Linked DNA regions of Struthio camelus. The protein of the gene in region 1 purifies or fractionates together with the protein of each later gene. This does not show direct contact. Links are inferred from orthologs where the notes say so. Each region holds a gene or a part of one and is shown in the gene's direction. Other genes may lie near its edges. The genes, in order: PIP4K2A, UBE2H, AHCYL1 and STK11.

What was found.
Region 2: the proteins of PIP4K2A (region 1) and UBE2H purify together in Homo sapiens (affinity purification with mass spectrometry; 3 studies listed by BioGRID and IntAct, with this or other methods). This does not show direct contact. The link is inferred for Struthio camelus from reciprocal best matches to the Homo sapiens genes PIP4K2A and UBE2H.
Region 3: the proteins of PIP4K2A (region 1) and AHCYL1 purify together in Homo sapiens (co-immunoprecipitation; 3 studies listed by BioGRID and IntAct, counting the BioPlex papers as one, with this or other methods). This does not show direct contact. The link is inferred for Struthio camelus from reciprocal best matches to the Homo sapiens genes PIP4K2A and AHCYL1.
Region 4: the proteins of PIP4K2A (region 1) and STK11 purify together in Homo sapiens (affinity purification with mass spectrometry; 3 studies listed by BioGRID and IntAct, counting the BioPlex papers as one, with this or other methods). This does not show direct contact. The link is inferred for Struthio camelus from reciprocal best matches to the Homo sapiens genes PIP4K2A and STK11.

What each region holds. Positions count from the first base shown.
Region 1 is NC_090943.1:21,264,345-21,272,107, forward strand, and holds the start of PIP4K2A (phosphatidylinositol 5-phosphate 4-kinase type-2 alpha), read left to right. Parts: upstream 1-4,755; 5' UTR 4,756-4,992; coding exon 4,993-5,133; intron 5,134-7,763. UniProt on the Homo sapiens protein: Catalyzes the phosphorylation of phosphatidylinositol 5-phosphate (PtdIns5P) on the fourth hydroxyl of the myo-inositol ring, to form phosphatidylinositol 4,5-bisphosphate (PtdIns(4,5)P2). Has both ATP- and GTP-dependent kinase activities.
Region 2 is NC_090942.1:1,893,316-1,900,212, reverse strand, and holds the start of UBE2H (ubiquitin-conjugating enzyme E2 H), read left to right. Parts: upstream 1-3,885; 5' UTR 3,886-3,968; coding exon 3,969-4,021; intron 4,022-6,897. UniProt on the Homo sapiens protein: Accepts ubiquitin from the E1 complex and catalyzes its covalent attachment to other proteins. E2 ubiquitin conjugating enzyme that transfers ubiquitin to MAEA, a core component of the CTLH E3 ubiquitin-protein ligase complex.
Region 3 is NC_090965.1:4,283,037-4,290,940, forward strand, and holds the start of AHCYL1 (S-adenosylhomocysteine hydrolase-like protein 1), read left to right. Parts: upstream 1-4,899; 5' UTR 4,900-4,914; coding exon 4,915-5,184; intron 5,185-6,151; exon of another isoform or gene 6,152-6,269; coding exon of another isoform or gene 6,270-6,347; intron 6,348-7,904. UniProt on the Homo sapiens protein: Multifaceted cellular regulator which coordinates several essential cellular functions including regulation of epithelial HCO3(-) and fluid secretion, mRNA processing and DNA replication.
Region 4 is NC_090967.1:7,175,388-7,183,080, reverse strand, and holds the start of STK11 (serine/threonine-protein kinase STK11), read left to right. Parts: upstream 1-4,681; 5' UTR 4,682-4,739; intron 4,740-5,401; exon of another isoform or gene 5,402-5,446; 5' UTR 5,447-6,155; coding exon 6,156-6,445; intron 6,446-7,693. UniProt on the Homo sapiens protein: Tumor suppressor serine/threonine-protein kinase that controls the activity of AMP-activated protein kinase (AMPK) family members, thereby playing a role in various processes such as cell metabolism, cell polarity, apoptosis and DNA damage response.

The sequences.
Region 1 (7,763 bases):
AAGAACTTTTTGGTGTGAGCGCTGGATACGGGCCTGGCCTGAGGCTCTGCATATGGTTAGGATTAGGGTTGACAGAAAGAGAGCCTAGAGCTCCACTTGGAGCAGGGCTAGAAAGGGACTACCACAGGGAAGTGTAGGCTGTGAAGTGAACTTGGCTGTAAAAACTTTTTGCTGTGGGCACTGGCTAGGGGCCTTTGTCCAAGGCTCAGCCTCCGCTAAGGGTTAGGCTTCAGTTAGCATTAGGGTGCAGAGAAAGAGAAAGCCTATTGCTGCAGCTGGAGTGGGGCTAGAAAGGGGCTTCCAAGAGAAAGGGTGGGCTGCAGAGAGAAATCAACAGGGGAAAATTTTTGGTGTGGGTGTTGGCTTGGTGTCCTGACACAAGGTTCACCCTGTGGTTATGTTTAGGGTTAAAGTTGAGAAGAGAGAGCCAAGAGCTCCAGCTGGAGGGGGCCTTGAAAGGGACTCCCAAAGAAAAGTGTGTAATATAAAAAGAATGTCACAGAGAGAACACTTTGTTGTGGGCATTGCCTGGGTGTCCTGGTCAAAGGTTCAGCATGTGGTTAAGATTGGGATTAAGACTAAGGAAAAACAGAGTTTAAGAGCGTCAGCTGGAGAGCAGCTGGGAAACTCCTGCTGATTGGAAGTGTAGGTTACAGGAATTTGGCTATGAAAACTTTTTGGTGCAGGCCCTGCCTGGGAAGGTGTGGCCCAAGGCTTTGTCTTCAGTTAGGTTTCTTGTTAGGGTTGGGAGAAAGAGAGAACCTAGAGATGAACTTGGAGGGGGTCTAGAAAGGGGTTTTGAAGGGAAGTGTTGGAAGCAAGAACTCGGCTGCAGGAACTTGGTGTGGGCACTGCTTGGGGTCCTAGGATAAGGCGGAGACTCCAGTTAGGGTTAAGGTTAGGATTCAGAGAAAGAAAGAGACTAGTGATGTAGTTGGAGTAGGGCTAGAAAGGTACTTTGAAAAGAAAGGGTGAGGTGCAAGGATAACTTGGTTTTGAAAACTTTTTGTTGTGGGGATTGCTTGAGGATCCTGGTCTGCGGCTCAGCATATGGTTAGGGTTAGGACTGAGAGAAAGAGAGAGCCAGGAGCTCCAGCTGCAGTGGAATTGGGAAGGAATTGCTAATTTTAAGTGTAGGATGTAAGGAGAACTTGGCTGCCAGAACTCTGTGGTGTGGGCACTGGGCACTGCCTGGCAAGACCTGGAACAAGGCTCAGACTTTGGATGGGTTTGTTTTTAGGGTTAAGGTAAAGGTTAAAGGTAAGAGAAAAAGAGAGACTAGAGCTCCAGTGAACACGGGGCTAGGAAGGGGTTGCTGAAAGAAAGGGTGAGCTGCAAGGAGAACTTAGCTCTCGTAACTTTTTGGTGCGGGCACTGAAATGGGGGCCTGGGATAAAACTCAAGATATGGTTAGGTTTATTGTTAGGGCTGGAGAAAGGGGGAGCGTAGAGGTCCAGTTGGAGGGGACCTAGAAAGAGGCTTTGAAAGAAAAGGAGAGGCTGCAAGGAGAACTTGGCAAGGGGAAATTTTGGGCGTCGACACTGCCTAGGGGGTGAGGTGTGATGTTCAGTCACCAGTTAAAGTTAGGGTTAGTGGCAGAGAGAAGATTTTATCGTGGACACTACTTGGGGATCCTGGACTAAGGCTCAGCATATGGCTGGGTTTAAGGTTAGTATTCAGAGATAGAGACAACCTAAAGCTTCAGCTGGAGGCAGGGCTGGGAAGGGACTGCCAAAGAAAAGGCTGGGCTGCAAAGAGAACTCAGCTGCACGATCTTTTGGTGTGGGTGCTGGCTGGGGGCTTTCCGGTCCCAGGCTCAGCCTCTGGGAGGGGAAGGATTATGGTTATAGTTGATGGAAAGAGAGGCTGTGGAGCTACACTTGGAGCATGGCCAGAAAGGAATTGCCAAAGAGAAGTGTAAGCTGCAAGAGTAATCAGCTTTTCTCTCTTCTGACAGTCACTCTGTCCATCTGCAGGTGCATCACGGCCTTGATGGAAGCCCTGGGACAGTGGGACATACAGGTACAGGGAGCCATCCCGTCCTCAGAAGTTTAAGGAGGCTGTGCCAACAGAATGCTAAGGTAGGAGCTGGTGATTTACAACGGCCTGGCAAACTTAGGCCCCCATACTGCGTGCCTCAAATCTGTGGCTGCCCCCTGATTTCTCCACTGACTGTAAAAGAAGGTGAGATTGATCAGGCTTCTAACTTGAGTATCAGGTGCCTAAAATTGGAGAAGATGAATCTGTGCCTCAGACCTTGTCTTGAAGAAGCCCAGGCCATTGATTTATTTTAACTCTGTAGTAAAAGTTATGGTCAACATCTGTTCCTCTGATAAAACAGAACCCTCCCTGCTAGGGCTTCAGAACCGCAGGAAGGAGCTCTTCAGAATCTAGGCCAAGATGACAAGAAAGTCCTCTGGAAAAAAAGAACGTTTTCCTTCTTAAGCCTTGCCTCCTTTATAATAAAGCTACCAAAATGCTTATTGTATATCATGTATTTATAAACCCAAAGGCTTCACTATGTGGATTTCTTCTGGAAAGAAGGTGAAAGACAAACATGTGACAAATGCTAGTCATGTTGATGTGCGCACCATTTTAAGATGCTCAGGTGTCATGTTCTAAGCATAATGTAAGGAATAAAATGGGTACTGATCTATTCTGAAAATCTGACTTCCAATCTATATTTAGGCATCTAAGCGACCTGCTTTTATTCAGAGGTGCTGTGTATTCAGCTGCTTCCATTGACGGCAGTGGAAAAAACTGAATTTTTCTTCTTGCTGAATCCTTTTTCAAGAACAAAAATTACAGTTGAGACACTCTCTTTAACTACTAGATAACTTCTTGCTTTAAAAAAAACACGAGGAATGAAACATATCATCTCTCTTTCCCCTAGTCTCCATAAGACGCAGAAAAGAGACCATGTAATAAATTCTAATAACTGCTTCTATGCAGAAGGAGGGAGATTAAACACGAAAAATTTGGATTCCAGCATGATAGATAACTTTCATATTGAGATCATGGAGGCCAAAGAGAAACAGAGGATGAGACACTCAACATGGTGCAAGCCTCTAAATTTATGAGCATCTGTGTAAGTATGTGTCATGGCTCTGAGTGCACCTTAGTTGCCCTAACCAGCTTCATCTGGAGCCCCCACTCACACCCTCTCCCCTTGGGCCAAGGAGCTTCACTTACGTTCAGGCCTGGGTGGAGTTCACGTTTTGGGCTAAGTTCAGGTCCTTGACTGAGCTATGCTGTAGGTGTACCTATCTCCAGCCCTGTCTCCCGGATGTACCTTGGACCTATGCTATAGGTAGCTTGTCTCTGGCCATGCTGTCTGCTGATGTATCTTGTATCTCTATTGTAGCTTTATCTTTGGCCCTGGCTCCTTTTGCTCCTGACTGGACTCTCTGGATGGACTCTGGACCTGGTCCATCACATCACCTTGTCTTGGACTCTTGATGAGTGCTGTTACCAGTGGCTGGCTGTGTCCATGGTGTTCAGGCTCTGTGAGACTGTGTCCTGTCAGTGAGGGCACTATCTGCCCTGGGGCCATCTTCAGCTCCTGGTTTGCCCACCCTCATGGAGTAGCCTTGCTCTTACAGCTCCCTCAAGATCTGCTGGCTTTGCTGAATGAACAGCCGATGAATAAAGCAAGAACTACAACAGTCAGGTCAGTTTGTATGATTCAGAATTTGATGGATGATTCATGTGCAGAAGATATATATACTTTGTTATCCAGGTGTATTGACTCAAAATAGTGACTGGAGTTGTCATTAAGGCACTATACAATGAAGAAAAGTGTATTAACGTTTCTTCCTAAGTTGGGCAGATGTGCCTTGGCAGGATGTCAGCCTATCACTGACCACATCCTGTGTGGTCATAGAGGCAGTTACAAAATGTTCTAATTGGGTATGATTAGGTGAGCACAGCTTATATGGGTGTAATATCTTTAAAGAACAAAGAAACTTCGATATGGAGTCCCTAAGAGACTGAGTTTTCAGTTTTTGCTGTACACTGAGTAAAAATAATAGATCTCAGTTCATAGGTTGGAGCTAGGCCGTGAAACAGCTGGCAGTGTTCTGCTGCAGAATGCCCTTTTCACTCCTAGACCTCTAACAAAAAATTAAAAAGTTGAATAAATATTGCAAAAGCTGCACAGAGTAACAACGTGTACCATCAGCTGGATAAAGATTAAGGCGATCCCAGGTTTTGTTTCCAAGTGGATTTGGAAGTAACAGCGTGAGGGCAGAGTTGACTAATTTTGACTCTTGAGACTGCTCGACAGGAAGGAAACAGGGGTGGGCGACGGGGAGCAGAACCTCCTTCTCCCCGGGCGCCGCGTTAGCCTTGGGCCCCGGGCGCTTCTCGGCGCTCCGTCTCCAACGGCCCCTCAGCGGGGAGCGGGGGCGCTCCCTCACCTCCCCCTTCCCCACCTCATCCCCTTTCCCTCTGCGTCCTTTCGCACTCGTCCCACTTCCTTTCTCCCCTCCTCCCCTTATTTCTGAGGTGTGTTTTTTTTTTTTTGCCCTTTCCCTGGTGCTCGCCCCGTCAGAGCGCCGACTTCGCGGCGGCGGGCGCGCAGGCGCCAGCCCCCATCCCCCCCCCCATACACTTCCCCCGGGCATGCGCAGTGAGGCCGCAAGACCCAAAAGTCCGAGGCGTTCCCGCGCCGGCTCTGGGGGCGGGGCGGTGCGTGGCGGGCGGGCGGTGGCGGCAGCGGCGGCTCCCCCGAGGGGGGGGAGGAGGCGGGGCCGTGGCGCGCGAGCGGGGCCATTTCAGCGCGCGGCGCAGGCGGCCAGGCCGGGATGCGCGCGGCAGCTTGCGCCGCCGCCCGCCCGCCGCCCCCGCCTCGCGCCGCCGCCTCCTCGCTCCCTCCCCGCGCGCCCCTCCCCGCGCGGCTGGGGCGCTGACTCGCCCCTTTCCCTCCCTCCCTCCCTCCCTCCCTCCCTCGCCGCTCTCCCCTCAGCCTCCCCCCGCCCCGCCGGCTGCGCCATGGCGGCCCCCAGCAACATCGTGCCCGTCATGGCGAGTAAAACCAAGACCAAGAAAAAGCACTTCGTGGCGCAAAAAGTGAAGTTGTTCCGGGCTAGCGACCCGCTGCTCAGCGTCCTCATGTGGGGGGTCAACCACTCGGTAAGCGCCGCCAGCGGAGCGCGGCCGCCGCTGCCCGCCGGGGCCGGGGCGCTGCGTGAGGCGCCGGCGGGGGGGGGGGCGGTGGCGGCGAATGTCACCGCGCGGGCGGCGGCGCGGCCGTTACCCGCTCGCGCCCGGGGCGGCGGCGCGGCAGCCGGCGGAGCCCGGGAAGTTTGTGGCCCCCGCGGCGGAGGCGGCCGGCTGCGGCGAGGCGGCAGCGCGGCCGGGCCCGCGGCGGCCGCCGTCTTATTGAATCGGCGGTGCCGGCCGTTTAAACGGTCGGCAGGACGCGTAAGGGTGGTGTCCGGGAGGCGACGGTGCTGCTCCTCCAGAAACGCGGGAGCAGGCACGGCGAGCATTGCATAAACGTACTGCGGTTGCAGAAAGAAGGGGGGGGGACGGCGTTATTAGCGCTTAACTACTGAAGTTTTTGCTGTCTTCAGTGCTGTTTGCAAGTGTCTCTTGATGGTTTTGTGCGTTTAGGGGAGGGGAAGAGGGCTCCTTTTTGGTGTGGTAAAGCAGCAGAATTACAACAGAATTGCAGCCTTTGCTGAGTGCTATATCACTCTGCAGATGATGTGCTGCTATATCTCCAAAGGATTCAATTTAACTAGATGCGGCAACACTGAACTGTTGCTGGTTAAGTGTTAAATTAGGAGCCTAGTAATGAGGGTGTCACATGGTTTGGGCATTATGAGGCTCAAGTCACAGCTTTACATCTTTATATAGCTACCATAGTAGGTTACAAGTGTAGAGCCCAAAGATCACCTAAAGTCACATATCAGGGCAGTTAAGCCAAAAACTTCTTCTGGTTTCTTAATGGTGCAAAGTCTGTACTTCCAAATGTTTTTACATGAATAGCATTGCTAGCAATTGGTACTTAAGAGCTTCTAAGAATAATTGTTGTTTGCAGTTTTAGACTACAATTTTTTTTTTGACAGCTTTATAAAATAGACAAAGTAGTCCTTGGCATCAAACTCTGCATTCCTTCTGTTTCCTACACCTCGGAATCCTATTTGTTTTTCTTTGTGTACATATAGTTGTTTTAGCCCCGAACCTGAAGTCCTGCATCAAGTCTAATCGCTGTTAAATCTGGGTGAGGCAGCACAATACCTGAAGTAATGATGTAGGGGGAAATGCTTTAGCTGTAGGTGTCAATGCAGTATCAATGACAGAAAATAAGTCCTAGAGAGGTTAAATAGTCCACTTAAGATAGTGCTGTGAGACGGGTGAAAATTATGGCACAGAACTTGTTTCAAAGTTTCCTGTAGATTAGTTGTAACCAGTGGCGTTCTGTGTCATGAACTGATCAGAAACCAGATATTTTTCTTCTAAATAAAAAAAAATCTCTCAACTGTGAAAGTCTGTGATATGCTATTTGCCAGAATTGGACTTAAATGCAGAAGTTTTTTCTACTTCTTCTTTAGTGGGACAAAGAAAGATAGAACTTAATGGCTGGTGTTTTTCATAGAAAAACTTCAAAATAGGTTTCTTCAGTGAAAGTAATCAACCTGGTAATTACAGGGTAAGATACTTCTGATGGATAATGTAAAGCTAGGTCTTGAACAGTGAGCAAGTTATCAGTGGTCTCTCTGGGATACAGGGGGAAAGAAGGAAAGAGAGCCTCTGACAAGAATACACATCATCCTGTTGCAACAGCTAGTTGCTACATAATGTTCATTCTGGAAATACTGCTACTTTCAGAGGAAAGAGCTGTGCTGTCTACCTGGTACTGTGTCTAATAACAAAGTAAATAGTAACAAACACGACACTGTGGTAACTCCTAAGCTCATATGCTACTACAGAGTATATAACTGTTTTGATTACAAAGTGTAAGGAAGAAGCAAACTGGTTCACGTGCATAAAACTAAAAGTCGTAACTTAAAATTCTGATGGGGGGAGGGTCAAAGAGAAAGCTTAGTAATAAAGTAGGTTCAGATAAACTAGATACTCTTTAATTTCTTTACCATGCTGCAAGATGTAATCATGAATAATACTTTGAACCAGAGTGCATGAAAAATAAGTTTGGCTTCAGTGGTGCCCAGTCTGATGTGTCATAATCTAAATATCTCTTCTTAGCTAAGAATACAGCATTTAAGTGTTGCGGGCTCCTCTGTTAGAGGAAAAAGCTGCTTACACTGTTGGTTTGCAATACCTGATGTGTAGGCATTTCAGGCATGTAATGTCTGATGTGCCAGCACTTCAGGATTTGTCCGGCAAATAAAAATGAGCAGTTAGTCTAATTGCAGCAGGCTCTGTTGTCAAAGATAAGAATTTATCATGGGAGAAATACAAAGTACATGCATGGATTGATTAACAATGGGGGTTAAGGATGCTTATATTTTCTTAGCAGAATAAACAGAAATCCATAAAATGTTAGACTAGGAAATGAGCATGAACATAGTTCATGATGATAGTAATCTAATAAACTTAGAGCATAGTAGTAAGCTGAAAAAAAAATTTATTGAAGTTTACTATCCACTGTCATGCATGTCAATTAACAAGGAAGTAGCAGTCTCCTATTCCTACGAAGCCAAATATGAGATGCAGTTCCCATATTTTTGGCACAATATGACATATACTGGAGGAAAGCTCTTGGTGAAGATCTAAAAGGAAAGCAGACTTTTTTC
Region 2 (6,897 bases), on another chromosome or scaffold:
GCCCTCCTTACCAGGTCGCCCAGCCTGTTGGCAAAGATGCTTTTGCCCTGCTTGGTGAGGGGGATCCCATCTCTCCCAAGTAGACAGCTGTCTTCAAACAGGGTCCCGTGGTCCCAGAAGCCGAAACCTGGTTGGGCCAGCTGTGCAGCCAACTGTGGACTTGCAGCATCAGTCCACTCCTCCTCACACTCTTTCCCTCACTGGCAGGATTGAGGAGAAAAACACCCAGGCCCCATACCGCTGACCACTGCCCCCAGTGCTCTGTAGTCATGTTCGATACGTCCCAAGCTGCCTTTGGCAGTATCGTTGGTGCCACCTGGAAGAGCAGCAGGGGTAATTGTCCCAAGAGTTGGACAAGCCTCGTCAGCCTCTCTGTAACATCCCGGATCCGAGCCCCCAGCAAGCGGCAAACCTCTCTTGATGACAGGTCATGTTGGCAGATGGGAGCCTCTGTTCCCTGCAGCAGGGAGTCACTACCGCCATCCCTCGCTGCGTCGTGTCCTGGCTGGGTGCTGGGGCGAGCGAGGCTCTGGTGCAGGCCTGATGGGGCGAGAGGGTGGTTTGCATCAGGGTAGTTTGTCTTCCTTTTGTGAGAAAGACCCAATTGCACCGCTCCCCGGGAAATGCTGCTGTGGCCCTTCCTCTCCAGATGCAGGGCACTCCATCATGCTCCTCTGCCGCTTTGACTTCAGAAGGCGGTGTGACATTAGCCTGCAGGCTGGGCAGGGCCAGGCCATTTGGGTGCCCAGCACTGAAAAACATGGATGTCGTAATCAGTCGGAGGCTGGTCATGGCACCGTTGGCAACGGTGCAGGGGAAAAGCAGGCAGCAGCACCAAGGAAGGGGCCGGTGCCTGGGGTGCCTGGGCATGGCATCACCTCTGCCGCAGCCCCACGACACCCATGGGACACGGCCTAACGAGGAGTGCCTTCACCCCCTGGTTGCCGTGGCCCAGGAGTTGTCGGGAACGGAGGTAGAGCAGGCTTAGCCCTGGGGGATCACATGGGGCCACGGGACAAGATACAGCCACGAGACGCTCAGGGCCCCAGGGCACCCCGCTGCGAGAGGGGCCCAGCACGAAGATGCTACGTGCCCACACACAAACGCACGGGCCGGCATTCCTGGTCTCCCTCTCTCACACGTGCACCCCTGCCCTGGGTGCCCTTACCCTGGCTCTGGCTGTCTCCACCTTGCCCTGGGTGTCCCACCTGGCCAGGGTGCCCTCATCCTAGCTCTGGGTGTCCCACCTGCCCAGGGTACCCTCAACCTAGCTCTGGGTGTCCCACCTGTCCGTGGTGTCCTCACCCTGGCTCTGGGTGTCCCACCTGCACAGGGTGTCTCCACCTTGCCCCAGAGGGCAGGGCATGGAGGAGCCCCTTCCCCAACTGTCTGCCCTATCTCCCTCTGCTCCCCATGACTCCCCTTGCCTCCTACAATTCCCCATGGATTCCCCCCCCCTCCCCACAGCTCCCACCCGTCACCGTGGCTCCTCCAGCTCCCCCAATCCCCACAGCTTCCCATAGCTCCCCATGGCTCCCCTAATCCCCACAGCTCCCCACAGCTCCCCCAATCCCTACAGCTCCCCATGGCTCCCCCAATCTTCATGGCTCCTCTCAACTCTCCACAGCTCCCCCAATCCCTATGGCTCCCCACAGCTCCCCATGGCTCCCCCTATCCTCGTGGCTCCTCACAGTCCCCATGGCTCCCCCAATCCCCATGGCTCCCCACAGCTCTCCCCCAATCCTCACAGCTCCCCATGGCTCCCCCAATCCCCACAGCTCCCCACAGGTCTCCCCCAATCCTCACAGCTCCCCACAGCTCCCCCAATCCTCACAGCTCCCCATAGCTCCTCCAATCCCCACAGCTCCCCACAGCTTTCCCCCAATCCCCACAGCTCCCCACAGGTCTCCCCCAATCCCCATGGCTCCCCACAGCTCTCCCCCAACCCTCACAGCTCCCCATGGCTCCCCATGGCTCCCCCAATCCCCACAGCTCCCCATAGCTCCCCAATCCTCAAAGCTCCCCACAGCTCCCCACAACTCTCCCCCAGTCTCCACAGCTCCCCACAGCTCCCCATAGCTCCCCCAATCCCCATGGCTCCGCATGGCTTTCCCTCAATCCCCACAGCTCCCCATGGCTCCCCCAATCCCCATGGCTCCCCATGGCTCTCCCCAATCCCCACAGCTCCCCATAGCTCCCCAGTCCTCATGGCTCCCCACAGGTCTCCCCCAATCCCCACAGCTCCCCATGGCTCCCCCAATCCCCACAGCTCCCCATAGCTCCTCCAATCCTCATGGCTCCCCACAGCTCTCCCCCAATCCCCACAGCTCCCCACAGCTCCCCCAATCCTCACAGTTCCCCACAGCTCCCCATGGCTCCCCCAATCCCCACAGCTTCGCACAACTCTCCCTCAATCTCCACAGCTCCCCATGGCTCCCCCAATCCCCATGGCTCCCCATGGCTCTCCCCAATCCCCACAGCTCCCTGCAGCTCCCCCAATCCTCGCAGCTCCCCCAATCCTCACAGCTCCCCATAGCTCCCCACAGCTCCCCATGGCTCTCCCCCAATCCCCACAGCTCCCCATAGCTCCCCCAATCCCCACAGCTCCCCATGGCTCCCCCAATCCCCACAGCTCCCCACAACTCTCCCTCAATCTCCACAGCTCCCCATGGCTCTCCCCCAATCCCCACAGCTCCCCATGGCTCCCCCAATCCCCACAGCTCCCCACACCCGGCCTGGCAGCCATTTTCCCTGCCGGGGCCACCCAGGGCACGGGGGACCCTCCCAAACCCCCTCGCCCCAGGTGACGAGCCGGAGCCAGGCGCCAGCTCGGTGATGCCGGCTGAGGCAGGAGGGGACGGGACGAGACGGCCGGCACCACCGTCCCCGCCGCCCCGCGGGCGCCGAGCGCGACTCTCCCCGGCTTTACACCCGGCCACGCTCAAAATGGCTCCCCCGGGGCCCCGCCACAGGGCCGAGGCCGGCGGCGGCTCCCCGGCGGGAGGCGGCGCGCCGGCGTCGAGGCTCTGCTTCTCTGGAAGCCTCGTCTCCCCTCATTAGTGGAAAGGCCTCGTTAGCGTGCTACGGACCCGGGCGCAAAGCCCGTTTGGGAAGCCGCCCGGGCGAAAGCCCTACAGAAAGGGCCTCGCGAGCGAACGAGCTGAAAGGCGAATGATTTAAACGGGGGCACGAGGCGGGGGGGGGGGGCACGGCGGGATCTCGTCGCCCTGCTGCCGGGAGGCGACCCGGCCGGAGCTGCCGAGGGACGGGGCCGTTCGGCCAACCCGCGTTTTAAGGATGGTGGCAGCAGCAGCAGGCCCCAAAGGTGGCCGGAGAGCGGGAAAGCCGTGCGGCCAGCTTGTGGGCGAGCGGGAAGGACGACGCGGTGCTTTGCACTGAGGTTACGCTGGCGGTGTCACCGCGGGGCGGCGGCGGCTGCGGGGGGTGGAGGGGGGGGGGGGGGGGAACCAAGTCGCCCCGCCGGGGTCTCGAACCCGCCGCCTCGCCCTTCGCTTTCCGCCTTCGGCAGCCCGCCCTGCCGCACTACAACTCCCGGCAGGCGGTGGGGCGGAGCGCGGCGAGCGGGCGGGGCCGGCGCGCTGCCGTCACGGCGGCGGCGCGGCCAATGGCAGCGGGGCGAGGCGGTGAGGTCACTGTGGGTGACGTCAGGAGTCCAGAGAGAGGCTCCGGCAGAGGCGAGCGGAGCGGAGCGGGGCCGGCGGCTGCGGGAGCGCGAGGCGGCGGCGGCGGCGGCGGCGGCGGCGGCGGCGGCGGCCCCGCCACAGGAGGGCGGCGGCGACAGGAGCAGCAGCAGCAGTAGCAGCGGCGGCGGCGGCAGAGGGGGGGTCCCAGCGGCTCGGAGCCCGGCGCCCCCCCCCCCCCGCTCCCCTCCGCGCCGGGCGGCCCCGGGCGGCGGCGGCGGCGGCGCTGACAGCCCGCCCGGAGCACCGGGGGCGGCCGCGGCCACCATGTCCTCCCCCAGCCCGGGCAAGAGGCGGATGGACACCGACGTGGTCAAGCTGTATCCTTCCCGCACCACCCCTCCGCCGACAGCCCCGCGGGCCTGCACCGGGGAGGGGTGGGGGGGGGCAGCACCGGCCCTCCCCCCCCCCCCCCGGGCAACGGCAGGGCCAGGCCCCCTCCCCGGGGCTCCCTCCCTGCCTGCCTGGGGTCAGACCTGCCCCCCCCCCCGAGGCCCCCCCACACTGTGGGGAAAGCCTCCCCCCCCCCATCCTAAGCCTTGTTTGGGGGCTCCCCGGTTTGACAGCCCGTGGTTCCCCCCCCCCCGAAAAAAAACCCAGCGAGGGCCGCAGCCTGGTGGCTGGCACCCCCTTTCCTGCCCCGGCCTGCGGCCCAGCTGCTTGGGGTTTGAGGGGGGGGGGGAAGCTGCCCCCGCGGCCACAGCCCAGAGAAAGGCTTTTGTGGTGTTTATCTTTATTTACTCCTCGGTTTCAGCCTGCGGTTCACGAAGCTTCTGGTGCTGGGCTTAGGGATTTTAATATTTTGGGGGCTGGAGGGTGCTGCTGGGATTGCCCGTGGCGGCGGGGTGGGAGACGGGCTCAGTGCGGCCCCGGACCCCCGGCCGGTTTTGCGAGCGGTCCCGTTTACGTAACGCTCCAGGTTGGGCTAGGCTTCCCCCCACCCCTTCCTTGATAGATCTGTTTTTATATATATATATATATATTTATTTATTTATTTATATATGTTTTTTTTTCCTCCTCACTCTTCTTGGCCCTTTGCAGGGTGGCAAATCCTTTTCTCTCTGTCTGGAGTGTGGGTGGTATTGAAAATATCGGTGGGGGTTTGGCTATAGGATTGGTTTTGGTTTTTTTTTTTTAATTAATAGTTTTTATGTATTTATTTATTTATTTATTGCTTACAAGGCGGTGGTGTGTGTCGAGGTGGGTAGAAATGACAAGAGCAAGCGAAATGTTTTCGGCTCTGTTTACTGGAGGTGTTGAACCTCTCGGGGGGGACGGTGGCTCTAACTTTGCGTGTGGCGTTGAGGGGTCGGTAAAACAGATCTGATTGAGTTCCCAGAGAGATAAACAAACTTGCTTGGATTTTGTGTTTTTAAAGGGGGGGGGGGGAAAGAAGAGCGATACCGCTCGTGTTTGTGGCGTGAGGGTGGCTTATCAAAGGAAACTTCTGTCGGTGTTTCGTGTGCGTTTCTCTGTACAAAGCTGCTCTTGGTATATTTTCGTGTTGTTTTTTAAGCAAATAGGAAATGACTACCGATCATGGTTGAATCCGAGCTATTTTTATCTGAGGTTTAAAGTTACGCACATGTCACACTCTGCCGAATGCAAATTTCGATCGATGGTTAATTGCGCTGGGAGGAGGGTTGGGAATTCCAGCTGTTTAGCAGGGGGGAAAAAAAAAATCTTCATTAGCCATAGTCTCGAAAGAGGACGGGGCTGAAGAGGGGCCGAGGCCCAACCTGATCTGCTGCTCTCCTTTCCCCTCCCCCTCTTTTTTTTTTTTTTTGTTCATTTAGTAGCTGGCATCTCCAGCGATTCCAGCATTTTAGGAGACAAAGAGCAGGGATTTTTCTTTCTTTTTATTTTTTTTGAAGTGGCTTCACTTGTTCTATATCTCTAGCGGTGGCGGTAGGTAGAAAGCCCCCAAATATTTGGCGTTCCTCCCAACGCTGGGTGGTTTCTGCTCTGCTCTCCCCCCCCCCCCACCCCCCGGCCACCGACAAAAGAAACCAAAGGGTTTTCCAAAAGCAGAGCTCTCGTTATTGTCAGCGCGGCGTCCCTGGTGTCCGAGGGCGAGGGTTAGAGCGGTCGGTGTCCTGCAGACAACAAACTTAGGAAGTTGTCTATGTCAGATGACTCTTCCCTCCACTCCTCCCTCCCCGAGCCTTTTTGTTTGTCCGTCCGACTTGTCTAGCCTGCCCAGGCTGAGTCCGGCTCTGTAGGCCCAGGCTCCCCGGGCGCTTCGCTCCGTGTACGTTGGGAGTCTTCCTGCCTGGGAGCTGATGTGAAATAAGGGTCTGTCGCGAGCCGTGGGAGCGACGGATGGTTTTGGTGGTGACCAAATGAGAGAGGACTAGTCTGGAGGAATGTACTTGAAGGCTGCTCCTCCCTGGGGCTGGATGGTTTTGTTGTTGTGTAGGGTTTTTTTTTTTTTTCCCCCCCCCTTTTGCTGCCATTTTCGTTACAGTTTCCCTTTTCAGCCTCTTTTCATGTCTCCAGTCTAGAATAATGGCGTGGATTTATCGCCTGCCAAGGGCTACCTTTTTGGATAGGGAGGGGGTGACGTTGTGAGTGAATAACGCTGCTGCCTTCTCCTGCTCTGACAGGTTTAGGAGCCGAGTGGGGTCTTTTTTATTATTCCTATTTTCAATCCTAACACGTCCATGTCCTTTTGTGGACGCGTCTTTGTGAGCAGGGAAGGGGAGAGGTTGCTTGGGCTCTCTCCCTGGATGGCTGGTGGGGGGGGGAGCCGTGTGTGTTAATGTGTTGAACCGATGTTTAATAATCGCCCGGGTGATTATGTGCTGAAACTCTGAGTCACTCATTGTCTCTCTCTCTCTCTCTCTCTCTCTCCCCCCGATCGTGCTCCCAACGTTGTGCGAATGTTGGGGAAGGGCCTGCAGCCGGGGTCCGCGCTGCGTTGCCCCCCTCCTTTGGGGGGGGGGGTGGCGGCTGCCATCCCTCTCCCCGATTTCTGAAATTTCCTGGGTTGCTGCGCTCAGTCCCCGGTCCAGCCTGCCGCACGCACCCAGCGGGGGCACTGCCACGAGCCCGGGCACCTCTGCCCCCCGGGGGGGACGCCGGGGATCCCGGTTCGGAGCCAGCCGCTGGCCTCCGAGCCCTGTTTGCAGGCAAGAGGCCTCGGGCAGAGCTCGCAACTCCGCGGATTGGCTGCTCTGTTACTACCCGGAAACCA
Region 3 (7,904 bases), on another chromosome or scaffold:
GTGTGTGCGTGCTGCTATGCGTGTGGTTGTGTGTGCTGCTGTGTGCACTGGTTGTGTGTGCGTGCTGCTATGCGTGTGGTTGTGCGTGCTGCTGTGTGCACCGGTTGCACGTGTGTGTGTTGCTATGTGTGTGGTTGTGCGTGCTGCTGTGTGCACCAGTTGTGTGTGCATGGTGCTGTGCGTGGGGTTGTGCGTGCCACTGTGCGCACCGGTTGTGTGTGCATGGTGCTGTGCATGTGGTTGTGCGTGCTGCTGTGTGCACCGGTTGTGTGTGTGTGTGTGTGTGTTGCTATGTGTGCGGTTGTGCGTGCTGCTGTGTGCACCGGTTGCACATGTGTGTGTTGCTATGTGTGCGGTTGTGCGTGCTGCTGTGTGCGCCGGTTGTGTGTGTGTGTGTGCGCACTGCTACGCGCGTGTGTGTGCGTGTGTCCCCGCGTGCCCCGGCTGTGTGTGCGTGTCCCCGTGTCACCGGGCGCGTGTCCCCGCGTGTCCCCGCTGCCCCGCCTGCCGCCCGTCCGTTGGTTTGCGCTCCTCTTCCCGCGTCGGTTGCAATCTCTTTTCCCGGTTCCCCGTTTCCCTCCCGCCTCACCCCAAACCCGGCTCCCTCCCGCCGCCAGGGGGCGCCGCCGCGCCGCCGCCCGGCCCCGGCGTGCGGCTTCGCTGCCAGGCGGCTGCGTGCTGACGTCAGGGCGCGCTGACGTCGCGGCGGCGGGCAGCTCCGCCCCTGGCGCCGAGCGCGGCGGCTGCAGGTCCGCGCCGCAGAGTGGTCGGAGCCGGCGGCACCGGAGCGGGCCGGGCCGGGCCGGGTCGAGCCGAGCCGAGCCGAGCCGGGCCGGGCCGGGCCGGGCCCAGCGCTGTGCCCCTCCCCGCCCCTCCGCTCCGCGCCCGGCGCCGCTCGCGGCCCCGGCCCGCCTCGCCGCCGCAGGATGTCGGTACCGGACTCGGCCGGCGGCGACGAGGTGAAGCAGGCCAAGGAGATCGAGGACGCCGAGAAGTACTCCTTCATGGCCACCGTCACCAAGGCGCCCAAGAAGGTACCGGCGGGCAGCATCGGGGCCGGCCCGGTTCGGGGCGGGGGGGAGCGGGGTCCGTGGCGGGCCGGGGCCGGTTCGGGGCCGGGGAGCGGGGTCCGTGGCGGGCCGGGGCCGGTTCGGGGCCGGGGAGCGGGGGCCGTGGCGGGCCGGGGCCGGGGAGGGGAGGATGGGTAGCAGGGTCTGTCGCGGGCCGGGGAGCGGGGTCTGTCCTGGTTCATGGGGGAGCAGGGCCAGGGCTTTCCCAGTTCAAGGTGGCCAGGCCATGGTGCTGGCCCACTTCTTAGGGGGGCTGGACTGGGAAACAGGGGGCTGGTCCAGTTGGGAAGAGGGTACTGGGAAAGGGGCACCTAGTGCAGCTTGAGGGTTTTGGAAAGAGGGACCTGACCCCATTCAACAGGGGAGAGAGAAGCAGGTACCAGGTTCAGAGGGGGCTGCTACCAGGAAACCATGTTTGGCCCCATTTGGGGCTCAGCTGGTACCAGAAAGGGGCTCTTGGCCCAGTTTGAGGGGGGCAGACTCGGTGCTGAGGGGCCTGTACTGGGATACGGCCCTGGCCCAGTTTGGGTCAGGGGAGGTGCTGATGGGGGACCGGTACCAGCGGCGTGGGGAGCCGTGGCCCGGTGTGGCGTGGCCTCATCTGGAAGGTGCTGGGGTCAGCCCTGGTAGGGCAGCTGGTACCAGGGTGAGGGCAGCACCAATGGGTCCTGTTCAGCACCGTGGAGCTGGGCTGGCTGAATCGAGGGAGGAGCAGAGGGGCTGGTTTGGTGGGGTCCTGGGCACCCCACGGCGTGAGGGTGCCTCGAGGGTGTCCCCAGGGCAGGAGTGCAGGTGGAAGGGGGCTGGGGGGACCCATTAAATGGAGCGAGCTGGCTGCGGTGACCTGGGGATCCTCCTGTAGGTCACCCTGAAGGGCAGCAATAGGAAATTCAGAGCATTGAACTTTTGGGGACGGGGCGCTTCGTTGGAGGCTTGGGTGGGATCATGTTTGGGCTGGGACAGAGGCTGCCAGAGCAGCCCCCAGCTCTGAGCTCTCCCACGTCGCTTCTTCACCCTTTCATCCTTAAAGACCTTCTCCAAGGAGTTCCCAAAATCTCCCTGGGCTGCCCCCCAGCCAACAGCAGCCCTGCTTGCATAACCGTCAGCGTGCACCCGGATGGGGCTTGCGAGCAGGTGAGCTCTGCCTGCGAAGTCGGATGGCTGTTTTAGCAGGACCCGGCTTTTAGATCGGCTGGTGCTTGGCCGGCCGAGAGCGAGCGGACGCCTGCGTGCCGTTGCCTAGCTGGGCGCCGAGCTTCACTAACGGGCCGCTGAAGTCGCGGCTCCTGCCAGCGCGGTGGATTTGTGCCGCGAGGCGCCGCGCGGGTACCCGGAGGTCCCTGCCGTGCCGAACATTGCGTTCTCCCCGGGGCTGCAGCCGCGTGCCTCGGAGCTGGGAGCCGAGGGCAGAGCAGTCGCAGCGAATGCAAATGTCTTCCTTCTCCGGGCGATGCGTCTTTTGCTCCGGCGAGCCGTGGGATTAGGGGAGCGGTAGGCCCTTGTGGAAAGGCCGCTGACAGTCGGCTGCGTTTGGGTTCTCTCTCCTCGTCCCGGCTTTCGGGCTGGCGCGCGGCCGCCAGGGAGCGGAGGGCCTGGTGGGTCTCCCTGCGCCTTGCGTGTGTTTATCCGGCCTGTGGACGTCGCCTGGAGCAAGGAGCAGAGGAATGCGGAGCTGGGATCTGCCTCTTCCCAGAGGTGGCTCGGCGGCACAGCCAGACATGGCTCAAACTCGGGCGATTTTTTTTTTCTTTCCTTTTTATCGTCAACATCTTCCACAAGAGCTGTTTAGTTAAAAGCGCGAGTCTATGGCTGTGTGAACATTACCAGCCAGGTGATTTGAGAAGGAAGAGCGAACTACTACTGCTCAAGTATCTTACAGGGCCAAAATACAAGTAGCAGAAGGGAAAGCAACGTGCGTGTGGAGAGGGAATCAGTCCAGCACCCTCATGGGCTTTGCTCGTATCTGTGGGGATAAGGGGTGTTGCATTACCCCCTTGAAGTTGCTGTGCTTACAGGCTTGTTTCACAGCCGAAGAGCAACCATCAGACTGTGGCTGCTGCAGCCTTTCCCGTCTGGGTGATGCTATTAAAGGTGCCCAGAGCAACGCAAGTTGTTTGAGGTTGATAACATCAGCAGGCAGTGCGATCTTGGGGAGTGCGCGATGCAGCTGAGGTCAAGGAACAAAACGCTTTGGGCCGCTGTTTTCCTTGCCTGGCTAGTTACTGTGAATAGCGCTCAGTCAGTGCGGCGGCCTTGGCAGGGGAACGAAAGGACGAGGAGGGGAGAACTGCCCTCCTGAGATAAGCTGCTGAGTGCCCCCAGCACAAGGCGTTTTCCTATGTCTTCAAAGCAGGATCACCGTGAAACCCTTAAAATGCTCTTTTTGTTTAAATGTGAGTCAAAGTGACTTGCGCACTTGCTGTGTTTCTGTCTTTGAAGCACTCCGCGCGGTCAGAGATGGTCGAGACAGATTAGTTTACCTGCGTGGAGGTAGAGGGAATCGCGGAGCGCTGTTGAAGCAGCGTCCCGGCTCGGTGTTTGGTTCCTTGAACTTTGGCGATGTAGTTTGCATAAGGCTTTGGAGATGGAGGGAACGCGTCCAAGGTTAGCGCAGGCTCGGCTCCTTTGTGTGCCCTGCTCAATAGCTTTTCAAAGAAGAGCCTTAACTTGTGTCAGCGCTTGCAGAAAGTGCCAGTGCGCTGCAGAGGAGCTGGCGCGAGGAGCCCGTGAGTGTCCCGTGTTCGGCGCCGGGGAGCTGATGCTGTGGTTTCCCGAAGTCAGAGCCCAGCTCGGCCCTAGAGGAAGGTCTCCGATGTAGCCGGAGGGCACGCTGGCCCCGTGCGTCCTCTGAAGAAGTCACCGTGCTCCTGGCCTTTGCTACACTGCCCTGGAGGCACCTGGAGCGATCCTGTGAGCTACGTAACCAGCCCGGGGGATCTCTGACATATTTATTTTCCCTCTTGTCATTGACTTGGTTAAGGTGAAAAAGTGAAACAGCAGGAGGTAAGAGATTAAGAGATTAAACGCGATCAACTCCGGGTTTAAGTAGGAGCCAAAGTAGTTGAGGGGAAGAGAGCTGTAGCCTTTCTGCAGAAATGTGGTCAGTTTTCCTCCAGGAGTTGGGGTTGTCTGGCTGTGCCGAAGCTCCCTTTTTGCTGCAGTTTACTGGAAATTGGGCTGTCAGCAAAATAACACCAGCTTTGGTCAGAGTGAGGCGGTTCCTTGGCAGAGAGTGGTTTGAAGGCAGAGGTGAGCGATATTGAGCCTTTTACTTTCTCCAGTGTGTGCCTAGATGTTGCTGGGGGATTTTGGAAACCAGCAATTTTGGGGTGCCTTGCCCAGGGAGAAGTGAATATGGGTTCGTCTAAGCAGGGAAAGGAGAGCTCAAGGGCAGGGTGTGCTCTTCTAGATCCCCGGGTCCCATCACCAGTGCATCTGGGCATCGGTTCTTCTGTCTCCCTGGAGTTCTGGAGGTGCCCTTGGATTTGGAAAGCAACTGCTGTCAAATCAGCCGGTCAGCGGAGCCTTTAAACTCCCGGCCGAGCTGAGCTACGTGTGCCCTAGAGCGGGGCGCGATGTGACACTGTGCCTAGAGACTGATGGCAGAGCAAAGGGGCTTTACAAGCCCTGTCCCTGTCTGTCACTGTGCCCGAGCCGGGCTGTACCCTTGTCGCGTGGCGTCCGCTGTCCCGTGAGATTGGATGACGGTGTCAAAGCAGAGGGAGCGCGCAATGTCTGTCCGGACTGTGGTCCCCTGGTGCGTGCCCCCCTCCTCGCCTGCTCCTTCGCACCTGGGTGCCGGCAGACGGACGTGCTCCGGCTCTGCACACCGATCTGCTTATTCATGCAGCAGAGCTGGAGCGTGAAATGGGCTCCAGCCTCTAATTTGCCCTCGGGGAGGCGTAAGCTTCGCGGCACCCCCGTGTGCCTCGCGAAGCCGGCAAGCCCGTCGCCTGCGTTTCAGTATGGTTCGCGGCCGGGGGCCAAACGGCGCGGGCTCTGCGGGTTTGGTCGCCGCGACCCTGCGGATGCTGGCGTCAGAGGAGCCCCGCTGAGGCTGTGTGCTGGCGGTGCAGAGGAGAATGCTAATGCACCGTGCTGCGGCTTTGCAGTGGTACCGAGCCGGAGCCGCGTGCTGGCGGATGCAGGGGTGGCACGAGATGGGAGCAGGGGAAGGGGACGGGGCAGGGAAAAGCTGGGGAGCTGACAGGAGGATTGCCATCCTCTGGAAAGGGCTTGCCGCCTTCCCCAAAGCATCATCTCTGCTGCTGCTTTTTAAGGTCGCCTGCATGAGCTGCACTCTCGCTGCCTGAGCAGTGTCTGACCTTGCTGCAGTCTGCTCTGTCCCTGCTCCTTGCACAGCCCCTTCCTGGAGCTGGGCTTTCTGCCTTTTTTTTCTTAGTCCCAGGTTGTCTCAGGTCTCTGCGGTTCTGCTCTCTCAGGCAGGGTGCTAATGAGTCTATCTTTGCCTTAGATCTGTCAGGAGGACAAGGTTGTCCTTGTTTATTCTGACAGAGCTTCTAGAGTTGCTTATTTTTTTCTCTTTTTTATTTCATCCCTTAAGCGGACAGACTGCTTGTAAATCTTCCTCTGCCTTTGGGTGCTTGTCCCACCATCTCCTTGCTTGGTTGCTTAGTGGTGCATGTGATTGTCACCTCCTTACCCAAATCCTCTATGGTATTTTGATTTCTCACCCTCTTCTCGTCTCCCTGCAGGTTTTCCTTTTGACAATGAGCTGCTTAGGCTGGGATGTTGTTAAGGGATCATTCTGCTCTTCACACACCATCTGGGATAGATCTGGCCTTTCTTGGGGTGCAAAAAGGCAGTAATATGTGAACGCATTGCTGCGGTTAGATGATCAGCTCAAGCCTGACCTGATTGTATCCCTAACCCATGGCGAGTGCAACCCACAAGGGTGTTTTGAGCTAAGATGATTTACTTTGCAATTGCTGGGCGCTGGAAGCAGACAGGTCATTGGTGGTGCTGTGTTAAATGACCAAATCTTAATTATTTATGTTTTAAGTCATTCTTCCCCTTGGGTCCTTCTCAGCACTCTGACTTCTTGGAGAGTCTCGCTGCTGTCAGTAAGGGAGGTCTGTCCCTGTGACCCAGCCCTGCTGCAAGACCAAAAGATGCTGATTTAAGTTCTCCTTGAACTGAAGAGCAGGAAGAAAGGAGCTTTTGGGGATCTGACCGAAAATGAGCCATCTTCAAAATGACGTGCCATGGCAAATGGTTTTTTGCATCTCTGTTCTCCTCCTCCTGCAGTCGCATGAGGTAGGCTCGGTTTCCACTCTGATGTCTGGTCTTTGGAGATAGGAAAGGAGTTGGCTACTCATTCCCTGTAGTCTTCAGAAGCAGCTCTTGTCTTGTTTTAGTGGTGCCAGCTGCAGTTGTGTGGGAGTTGGGGTCAGCCCATCTGAACAGTGCTGGTTGTCCTACTTGCCCCATTCCATTTCCAGTCTGGGCTTTGAGATTTCTTGGTGGAAATCTCCTTTCCATGTGAGCCGCCAGGTCTGGAGCATGGGAAGTGGGCTGATGACAGAAGAGTGGTGTTTTCTTGAGGCCTTTCCCAAAATGTGAGATTGTCTTGTGCCAGGGACCAGCCTATAACAATACTTTCTTTGGGACCCTGACAGTTTTCACCATTCTTCTTTTCCAGCCTGTGCAAATGTTGGAGTCTGTTCTGTGCTCCCTGCTACAGGTTGTGCTTTGAGGTTGGTTTTTTTGCTCTGGAAAAAGCCCTTCAGGGCTGGGTTGGAGTTGACCCTTTCAGATAACTGGTTGGCTAAACAGAGAGCTTTGCAGGTGAGGATCTTACTCATGTGGTTCCTCCAAGGGGTCGGCAAGTGGATTGTCCCAGGTGTTTGAGCAAGAGGAAGAGTGGGACTTGCCTGCTCTGAGCAGCACTCAGTGGAGGAGGCTTGCTTGTGCCTGACTGTGTTTTTATCATTAGGAGTTTCCTGTGGCGACGTTCCCGTTTGCAGAAGGCTTGTTGCGTTTCCTGTGGAGCTCTTTGATTAGCGCTGCTTATCTGGGGACTCTGACTCACGTTCACTGAGCAGATTGTGGTGACGTTTGAGGTGACTGTGCTAGAGCCTGCTGCTGGTGCCGTAGAGCAATGGGTGCAAAGGACCTTGAGCTAATGCTTCTGCAATTTATAACCGCTTGGCCCGATCCCCCTTTATCAGTGAGTTAAGGGACCGGATTGGATCAGTGGAAGGCTGGGTCCAGCGTAGGAAGGTCAGGGAGTCCTGCAGAGGAGAGTTGGTGAGGAGGACCATCTTGTTATCACCGCGGTGGGGTACTCCAGAGCCCCTCCATCAAAGCCCTCTACAGTATCTGAACGGCTCTGTCCCACGATTTGGGTCATGTTTATATCTTGACCATCTCCCTTTGATTCAGCCTGTTTTGCACCATACCCCTTTAACCTTGGGCTGAACGTCATCACGACATGCTCCCCCAATGTGGTTAACCCTCAACGGGGCAGGACATGGGGAATGGGTGCTTTTGGATGTCTCAGTGGGTGGTGCAAGCAGAGGGCTGCCGTTTGGGGTGTTTTCTGAGCAGCCCAGGAGGCTGAGGCTGGTGTGTGTCTGGTCTCCTCCCTCGCTGACCCCGGGGGCTCCCTGCCTCTGGGAAAGCGGGACGCGGAAGCTGTGGCTATTCATGCCCTTGGGAGGCCGCCCCGCTTGCCCTGTCGTACTGGGCTGCTTGAACTGTGAATTTTAATTACATTTTGGGATCAATACGGTGGCCTTGGTAACGAGCTTATTGCTGCTGCAGAATCTGTTTACTTCAGGTTGGTGACAGCCAAAGAACTTAGGTGGCCGG
Region 4 (7,693 bases), on another chromosome or scaffold:
AGCGGGGTGGAGGTGGCTGAGCAGTGGCTTTGTGGAGGCCTGCATGCAGTGAATTTTGCAGGTCTCAGCCCAATGCCCCTTGGCTCCTGCGGGAACCGGCTGAGCAGACCGACCTGTGCAGAGGCGAAGCTGCCGGCGCAGTCGCTGCAGGGAGCTGATGTGTCTGTGAGACCCCCAGTGAGGGACAGTGCTGGGGGCAGGCCTACAGGGACACCCGGCTTGTCCCAATCCCCCTGCCCGTTTCCAGCGGGAGGGATGATTTTGCCTCTGGGGAAGCCTGTTTTCCCACCGCCCGCGGGGAGGGGAGCGGGGCCGGGGGGAGCAGAGTGTGGCTGATGCAACCGAGCGGCAGCCGAAGCGATGGGGGAGCTGCCTCCCGCCCGGGTTTCTCTGCCGTGGACGGTTTCCAATCGATCCTGCCCTCGGCTGCTGGGAACCCGGCCCCCTCGGGAAGGGGAAGCACAGCGCTTACCAGAATTTGGGTGATCACTTTCCAGCACTTTGGACTCAGTGCCAAGATCGAAGTAAATCACATGTGGCTGGGTGCTGCCGTGAGAACAGCTGGGGAGGGAGCGGGGGGAAGCGGGGCAGCCGGCTCCTGCGGCCAGCCCTCCCTCCCCGGCCCTCTCCCGCCTTTGCCGTGCGGGACACCTCGTCCCCCGACAGCCAGCAGCGGGGCCGGGGCGAGACGCGGGCATCGCTCTGCCCCAGCCCTGCGGAGCCTTTGGGGAGCCCGGCTGGAGCTGCCACTGCGGCCCTTAGCTGGGAGGACGTGCTGCGGCACCGCTCGGGCCCCGAGGGGGGGCTCGGGGCTCTCTGGCTTGCGCTCCTCGCCCCATGTGGTGCCAATAGCTCTTGCAAAAAGGCAGCACTCAGGGATTTGTCTGGTCCCTCCTTGGAGTAACTGCTGAACTGGAGGTACTACCCTGAGCGCGTGATCCCAGCTGAGCCTGGGTCCATCGTGTCGCTAAAGGGCTTTTTTTAATCTCTAATATGAGTGTGCAGCAAGGCCTGGGAGGAAGCTGCAGCTGCAAACATCTTGGTTCCTCTGCGTGCATTTGAAACGGGCTGTGCAGTTTCCCACTGTGCCAACCTACCGCTGATCAATGCGAGCGATCGGCTGTTCCCTCGCTAACGTCTTCCCGCAGGACCCGGCGTGGCGAGGGGCTGCCGCAGGCGCGGAGCAAACCCTGGCGCAGCCTGGGCTGAGGGGAGGCGGTGGCAGCGGCATCCTGGCCGGGCGCTGCCTCCCCCCTGCTCGTGCCGTTCCCCGGGAGGAGTTTGCCTGCCCCGGGGCCGAGCTGTGCGGGGAGCTCAGCCGCCCCTCGTTTCCCGGCGGTGCCCCTCCAGGCTGCCTCCCCGCTGCCACCGGTGCCTCCCTCTCCCTCGTGGCAGCCCGAGCCCGGGACCCCTCGCCCTGCGTTGCATGTGGAAAACAGTTTTTCTCCTCTTGCAGCAGCTTTTTACCTGTTGGCATACTGTTTTTGTCTCCCCTCTCCCCAGCCACTAGGAAACACCACCGTGTCCAGCCGGGAGCTCGCCTGTGACACCCCCCCAGGACTAGCGTCCGTGTCCGTCCGTGCATCCCTCCGTCCACACGCTCGCACTGCCGCCTGCTGGAACGAGGCCCGTGCCAGGGCGGACGCACGGGGCTGCCGGGGCGGACAGGCCGGCCGCGGGGACCCTGCCACGGGCGAGCAGTGTGGCTGGAGGAGCCCACGGAGGGGGTTCTCCTAGCGCCCCTCGGCGGGGGAAAGCAGCAGGGTAGGTTCAACCCTTATCAGACACTAGAGAATCCCCCACCAGGGAAGTCGCAGTGTTCCCAGGGCCTCTCCCTGCCGTGCCAGCTCCCGCCCGGAGCTGCCGGGGAGCCGCGGCGCTCCTTTGGAGGACGCTCTGGCAGCTGCTCGGTCTCATCCGGCCCCATCCTGGCTTCTAGCGCGTTGCAGTGCCCAGGGCATCGCCCCATCCTGCCCCTGCCCGTGCCAGGGTCGTCTCGCTCAGGGTGAGGAGGAAATGCTGCCGGTGCCCAAATCCTCAGATGGCCTTAAAGAAAGTCCAACTCTTTCCAGAACTACTACAGCAGGGATTCCTGTAATTGCCCTCCTATTTTTCTAGCTTTTTCAAGCTCTAGTGCATGACCACAAGGGCTAGCAGTCTATTTTCACTTTTTAATAGAAGTAGATTCCCATGTAATCAAATCACTTTCAGAGCAAGGGTGTAAAATATCAGTTAATGCAAAATGTATAATAAAATAAGGAAAATCACAATTTATTCAAATGAAACTATTTTGCTTGTCAAAGAAGGGAATTCTCTCCAGTTTCTTCCTCCTTCGGTAACCTGCTGACCAAAAGCAAACAGCAGCAGCTGGAAGGAAGGTCAGACAAATAGCAGCCTTTGAAAACCGACCCCGAAGATGCTCCGTCCCTGCTGGGTGCCGCTCTGCTGACGGGAACGCAGCGATGCCACGGAGCAGCGCAGGCCGCGCTGCTTTCCGCACAGACCCGCTTGGCGGTTTTGTGAGCTCAGCCCAGGAGAGGGCAGGGTTGTGGCTCCGTGCTTGTCCCGGGTGTAGATGTTCCTGCTAAAATACGAGCAGAGAAGAACAAATTTAACACGGAGACTTTAGTGGAGAATCCAGATCATGGATGATTTTGAGAAATTTGTGTGCCTGCCTGTAGCTATCTAAACCTTGTTTAAAAAGTGCCAGACAGCAAACACAAAATAAGGACAGCTGTCAAAAAAAGCTTTCTAAAGCATGTAGTACAAATGCACTAGCCGGAGCGGGATACTGCATCCAGCAATGACAGAGAAAGTAAAAAAACAGAGGAACTGTGGAATCTATTGCCTCAAGAAGGCTTGGATTACATCTTAGGAAAAATCAGCCTAAAGATAGACAGGGTTCAGCACTGATGTAAGATATGCGGGGAGGGTGGGAAGATTTCTAAAAGTTAGATAAACATCTGCCAGAAACGATGTACATCTGAGCCTGTCTCAGAGGACTTCAGTTGTACTCTTTAGCTCCGTGTTTCTGCGCCTGGTTGTGCTAGTGGAGGAGTCTGTGCCTCTGCGCTGGTCTGTCCCATCCATTTAGCAGATAAGCTGTCAGTTGGGGATTATCTAGCGCAGCGTACGGTACGCCTCCCAGAGCCCGGGGGCCCACGGCGGGGTGAGCTCTAGGCGCTCCTGGTGAGACACAGTAAATAGTAAGGCGAATAAGTATTTTTAAGGTGCGAAAATGGTGAAAGGGACAGGATGGTATATGAGGGAGCATCTGGCATGAAAAATACAAACGATTTCTGTAAGTTTCCCAGTAAATGCATCTTCCATAACCTGATCCTGCTGCAGGAACATCCCTTGCTGCTCCGGTCCTCAAGAGTCAAGCCAGATGATTCTTAAAACAGGAGATATCCATGGCTAACCTGTGTTTTAAGAAGCAGCACAAGGGACTCAAAATACGATATTCTTTCTCCCTGTTGCACAAACAACAGGACACATAGCTAAAGGACACTGCGGTGTTTGTAAAGATGGGCAGTAAAGATTGCCTGCAGGTTTTAGGATCAGCAGGAGCGTGAACTCTGCTGACCTTGTTTCAGACTTGATTTAAACCCTTCCAGCCCGGAGCTGGCTTCCCCTTGGAGGCCGCTGGAGCTACCCCTGCGCACAGCAGCCTCTGAGGGACCGCAGATAAAAGGCAGCGTTCTATTTCATTTGCCATCCGTTAGTTATTATCCTGGAGCATGGAAATACACGTGTTGGGACAAAACATCCTAATCAAAATACGCAAGCGTTCTGGATTGTAGCAGTCCGGTCAGGAGCCTTCAGCAGAGGGATGGACAAGGCAGTGAAGTGTGGACGAACGGAGGGAGAAAGGGGACCGAGGTGGCAGAAACGGTGGACAGGCCAGCAGTTATCCCGGAGGAGGGAAAGGGGTATCCCCGCTGCCAGAGAGCTGCTGCGGCTGAATTCCCTGCACAGGCCGAACGCGCGTCGGATTTAGCACGAAACGTTCGGGCCAGCGGGTGGAAAAGGCTCCCAGGAAAGACGCGGCTGGGCAGGAGAGTTTGTGCTGCGCTTAAAAGAGGGCAGCGCCACGTCGCCAAGGGCTCCCGGGGGGCGCGGGGAAGGAGCTCTCCCCCCTTCCACCCTCGACCCGGCTCCTCGCAGCCAGGCCCGGGCCGGGGCCGGGGGCGGCGCGGTGCGGGGAGCCCCCGGGCTGGGCTGGCACCACAGGGCAGAGGCGGCGGAGGGCCCGGGAAGCGCAGCAGGAGCCGCCCGAGGCTCCGCGGAGGCGGCCCGGGAGCCCCGCGGCGCCGCCGGGCCCGGCCGCGCTGCCCGCGCCCCGTCGCCATGGCACCGCTTCCCCTGCGCCCTTTGCCCTTTGCCCTCCGTCCCCTCCCGCGTCTGACGGACAGACCCTTCGGCCTATCACAGCGCCCCGCCACCCGCCGGAGTAGGTAGGCGGGCTGGAAACGCCACGGGCCAACCGGAAACGAAAACCGCGAGGCCGGCCCCGCCCCCCTCCCCGCGGCGCCGCCGCAGCCAACCAGCGGGCGAGCGTGGGGGGGCGGGGCCGGCGGTGGGGCCAATGGGGGGGCACGTCGCTCGCCGGGGAGGCGCGAGGCCCCGGAGGGAGGGGGGAGGGCAGCGGCGGGAGCGCGCCGGGGGCCGGGGCCGGGGCGGGGGCGGGAGGTAAACAAAATGGCGGCGGCGTGCGCGCTACGGCGGCGGCGGCGGTGGTAACGGGGGGTGGCGGCAGCGGGAGTGCGGGCGCGGGCCCCGGGGCAGGGCCGCGGTGGCAGAGCAGCGGGCAGCGGCCGGCGGGGCCCCCCTGAGGCGCGGGGGGGGGGGGGGAGCGCGGCGCCGCCGCCGCCGAGGCCCGGCTGCGGGGAGGGGGGACGCGGCCGCCAGCCCTTCCCCCCCCCCCCGCCTCCCTTCCCCAGAGGCGGCAGCGGGGCGCGCAGTCGAGCAGCTGAACCTGCCTCCGGGGCTCACCCCCGGCCCTCAGGGGACGGGCCCTTGCCGAGAGGGCCCCCCCCCGCAGGCGCCCTGCTGTGGTGGGGGGGGGCTTGGCTGCGGCCTGCCAGGAGCCAAAGGTCATTCCCCCCCCCCCCCGGGGTCCCCTCTCTGCCTTCCGACCTGCCTGTGGTGGCTTGGTTGCACTGTGAGTGGTTTATCCCCTTCCCCCACTTTCTGAAGGGGTGGGTACAATATTGCTCATTTTCCTCTCTTTCCCCCCCCCCCCCCCCGACTGACACCTGTGGAAGGGGCTTGCAGAGGGGGAGAAAAGCCCAGGCAAGGTTAGCATCTCCTCATTGACCTTCCTTTGTTGGACAGGGAATGGGGTGTTTTGGGTACTGGACAGAGAGAATTACTTCTTCCTGGTTGTTCCTGTTTTAAGGTGGGTCAGTAAAGCTCTAGTAGGTTTTGCATTGTCTGACACCAGCTGACACCTGGACCAGTGGTGGAGACACATCATGTGTCAGGCGGAATCCGAGTGGTTGAAGGATGCCCCTGGGAGATCTTGATAGGCACCGAAGGCCTCAAACTTTTGTAGGCGTGAAAAGTGAAGAAATTAGAATTGATTCTGAAAACTCCTTCAAAGAAACTTGGTTCCAGCTTCCAAACGGCTGAAAAAAAAATCTTCTATACTTGTACCTGGAAGGTGAGGGCAGCAGGGCAGAAACGCTTCCCCTGCGATTCACAGTTTGGAGTTGGTGGCTATGATCTGCTAGTAATGGAAAGTCATGAAAGAGACTTGGCTGTTGTCTGTTTTTATGTGGTGACCTAAAGTCCCAGAGGATGACCTAGCACTTAAAAATCAAACTGGGCCAAGTTAAAGGCCAAGCTGACTTGAAGGAACCCTAGTGGTGGGACCAGGTCAGAAGTAAAGCAAATCCCAAACTGAGTGTATCTGGTCAAGGATATATTCTTTTTAAGAGACATTGTGTTACTGGAGCCAGGCCTGGATCTTTTAGCATCCAACTGAGCTGGAAGCAGCTCATAGTAATTTTTTGTTTTGTTTTTTTATTCATGTTTGTACAATCTTCTGGATATTTTTTTTCAAGAAGGAGTAAAAGGGAGTGTTGGAAACTAACAAACAGGATTAAAACCCTGAGCGCTTAAGGAAAACAGGTTAAGGAACTTAATCCAGGATGGATATGCAGGAGCCACAGCAGTTGGGTATGTTTGCAGAGAGTGAGCTGATGTCTGTGGGGATGGACACTTTTATCCATCGCATCGACTCCACGGAGGTCATCTACCAGCCACGGCGGAAAAGGGCCAAGCTCATTGGCAAATACCTAATGGGAGACTTACTTGGAGAAGGGTCTTATGGCAAAGTCAAGGAGATGTTGGACTCTGAAACCCTCTGTAGGAGAGCTGTCAAAATACTGAAGAAGAAGAAGCTACGCAGAATTCCCAATGGGGAGGCAAATGTGAAAAAGTGAGTAAATATTTCCAGTAGCTGGGAATCCAGGGAGTTAAATTTTATCGTTACTTTCCAACTGATGTTCTCTATCATTTAAAATAATGACAGCTTTGTGTTCTGGAAGTGCTTTCTAAACCATATGTACTCAGGAATCTCTTTACCGTTGAAACACAGCCAACTGTAAGGTGAAGGGTGCTTCTAAATGCTGCCCAACAGTGAGAGGAAGCTTATTCTCAAGGGCATGGGAAGCGCATCTGTCCCCTTGAACAGAAGAGTATATAACACATGCCCTTTCTTAGTTTCATTACAAAGTAAGAGAGAATCTCTGTTTCTAAAATTTCATGTCAAAGATGCATTGAAAACTGGTGTTTGTAGTGAACTCAACTAAGAAAGATGAGGGATGGTATAGCTGAGAGTGCAGAAATACACTTTGTATTGTTGCTCTCTCTTATTGTGTATCCATATAAGTGTGTGTGTGGTTCTTAAGCTCTTTAGGGTGGTAATTATTGCTACCACCCATGAAATAAGTGCCTGGAATGCATGATCCAGTGTATTATGCACCCAATGGGCATAGGAAGTCTTGGGTTTTATTCTTGGTTTCACTTCTAATTAATGAGTTTGGGAAGTAATTCAAGGCTCTTTTCAGTTGATTTCTCCAGCTGTAAAATGGGGACAAGGGTTGTCAAGCTCTTCTTTTCAGTGACTCAAGATTTGTGCTTGGAAGGTATTTCAAGTGCCAGTTACATACTGATTAGTCAGTGCACAAGTAACTAATTAAAATATACTGCGGGGAGAAGCCTGGTGTTATGCCTCATTTGTAAGAGTTGTTATTATCTGAAACTTTCCCTTTTCTTGGTGTTGTGCCCTACATGTGAGGACCTAACAGCCAGCTGTGTTTTCCACAGCAAGCTGTTTGTTACAGCCCAGCAAGATAGAGTTGTTTATCTGGTGTGAAGGGGAGCCTTCTGCAGCCAAAACAAATTATTTGTGACAGTTTATCTTATAGTGGGAGGGAAAACTTATGAGATGTTTAGAAGACTCTTGTATTACGTCTTTCGCTGTGGTGTGCTGAGTGTAGAGCCCTGACCTAGTAGAGTCTTGTTTCTGTTTCTCAGTTTGGTTTGAGTTTCCGAGCTCAGCTGCAAGATATTTCACATCCTGTACTGGGACTTCTGTCAGCTAGCTGTTTAAGTTTCCCTTTTAACCTTCAGTGGACACGCTTAGCTACAGAATAGCAACAAGTCTTTCATGCAGGGGCCTCGC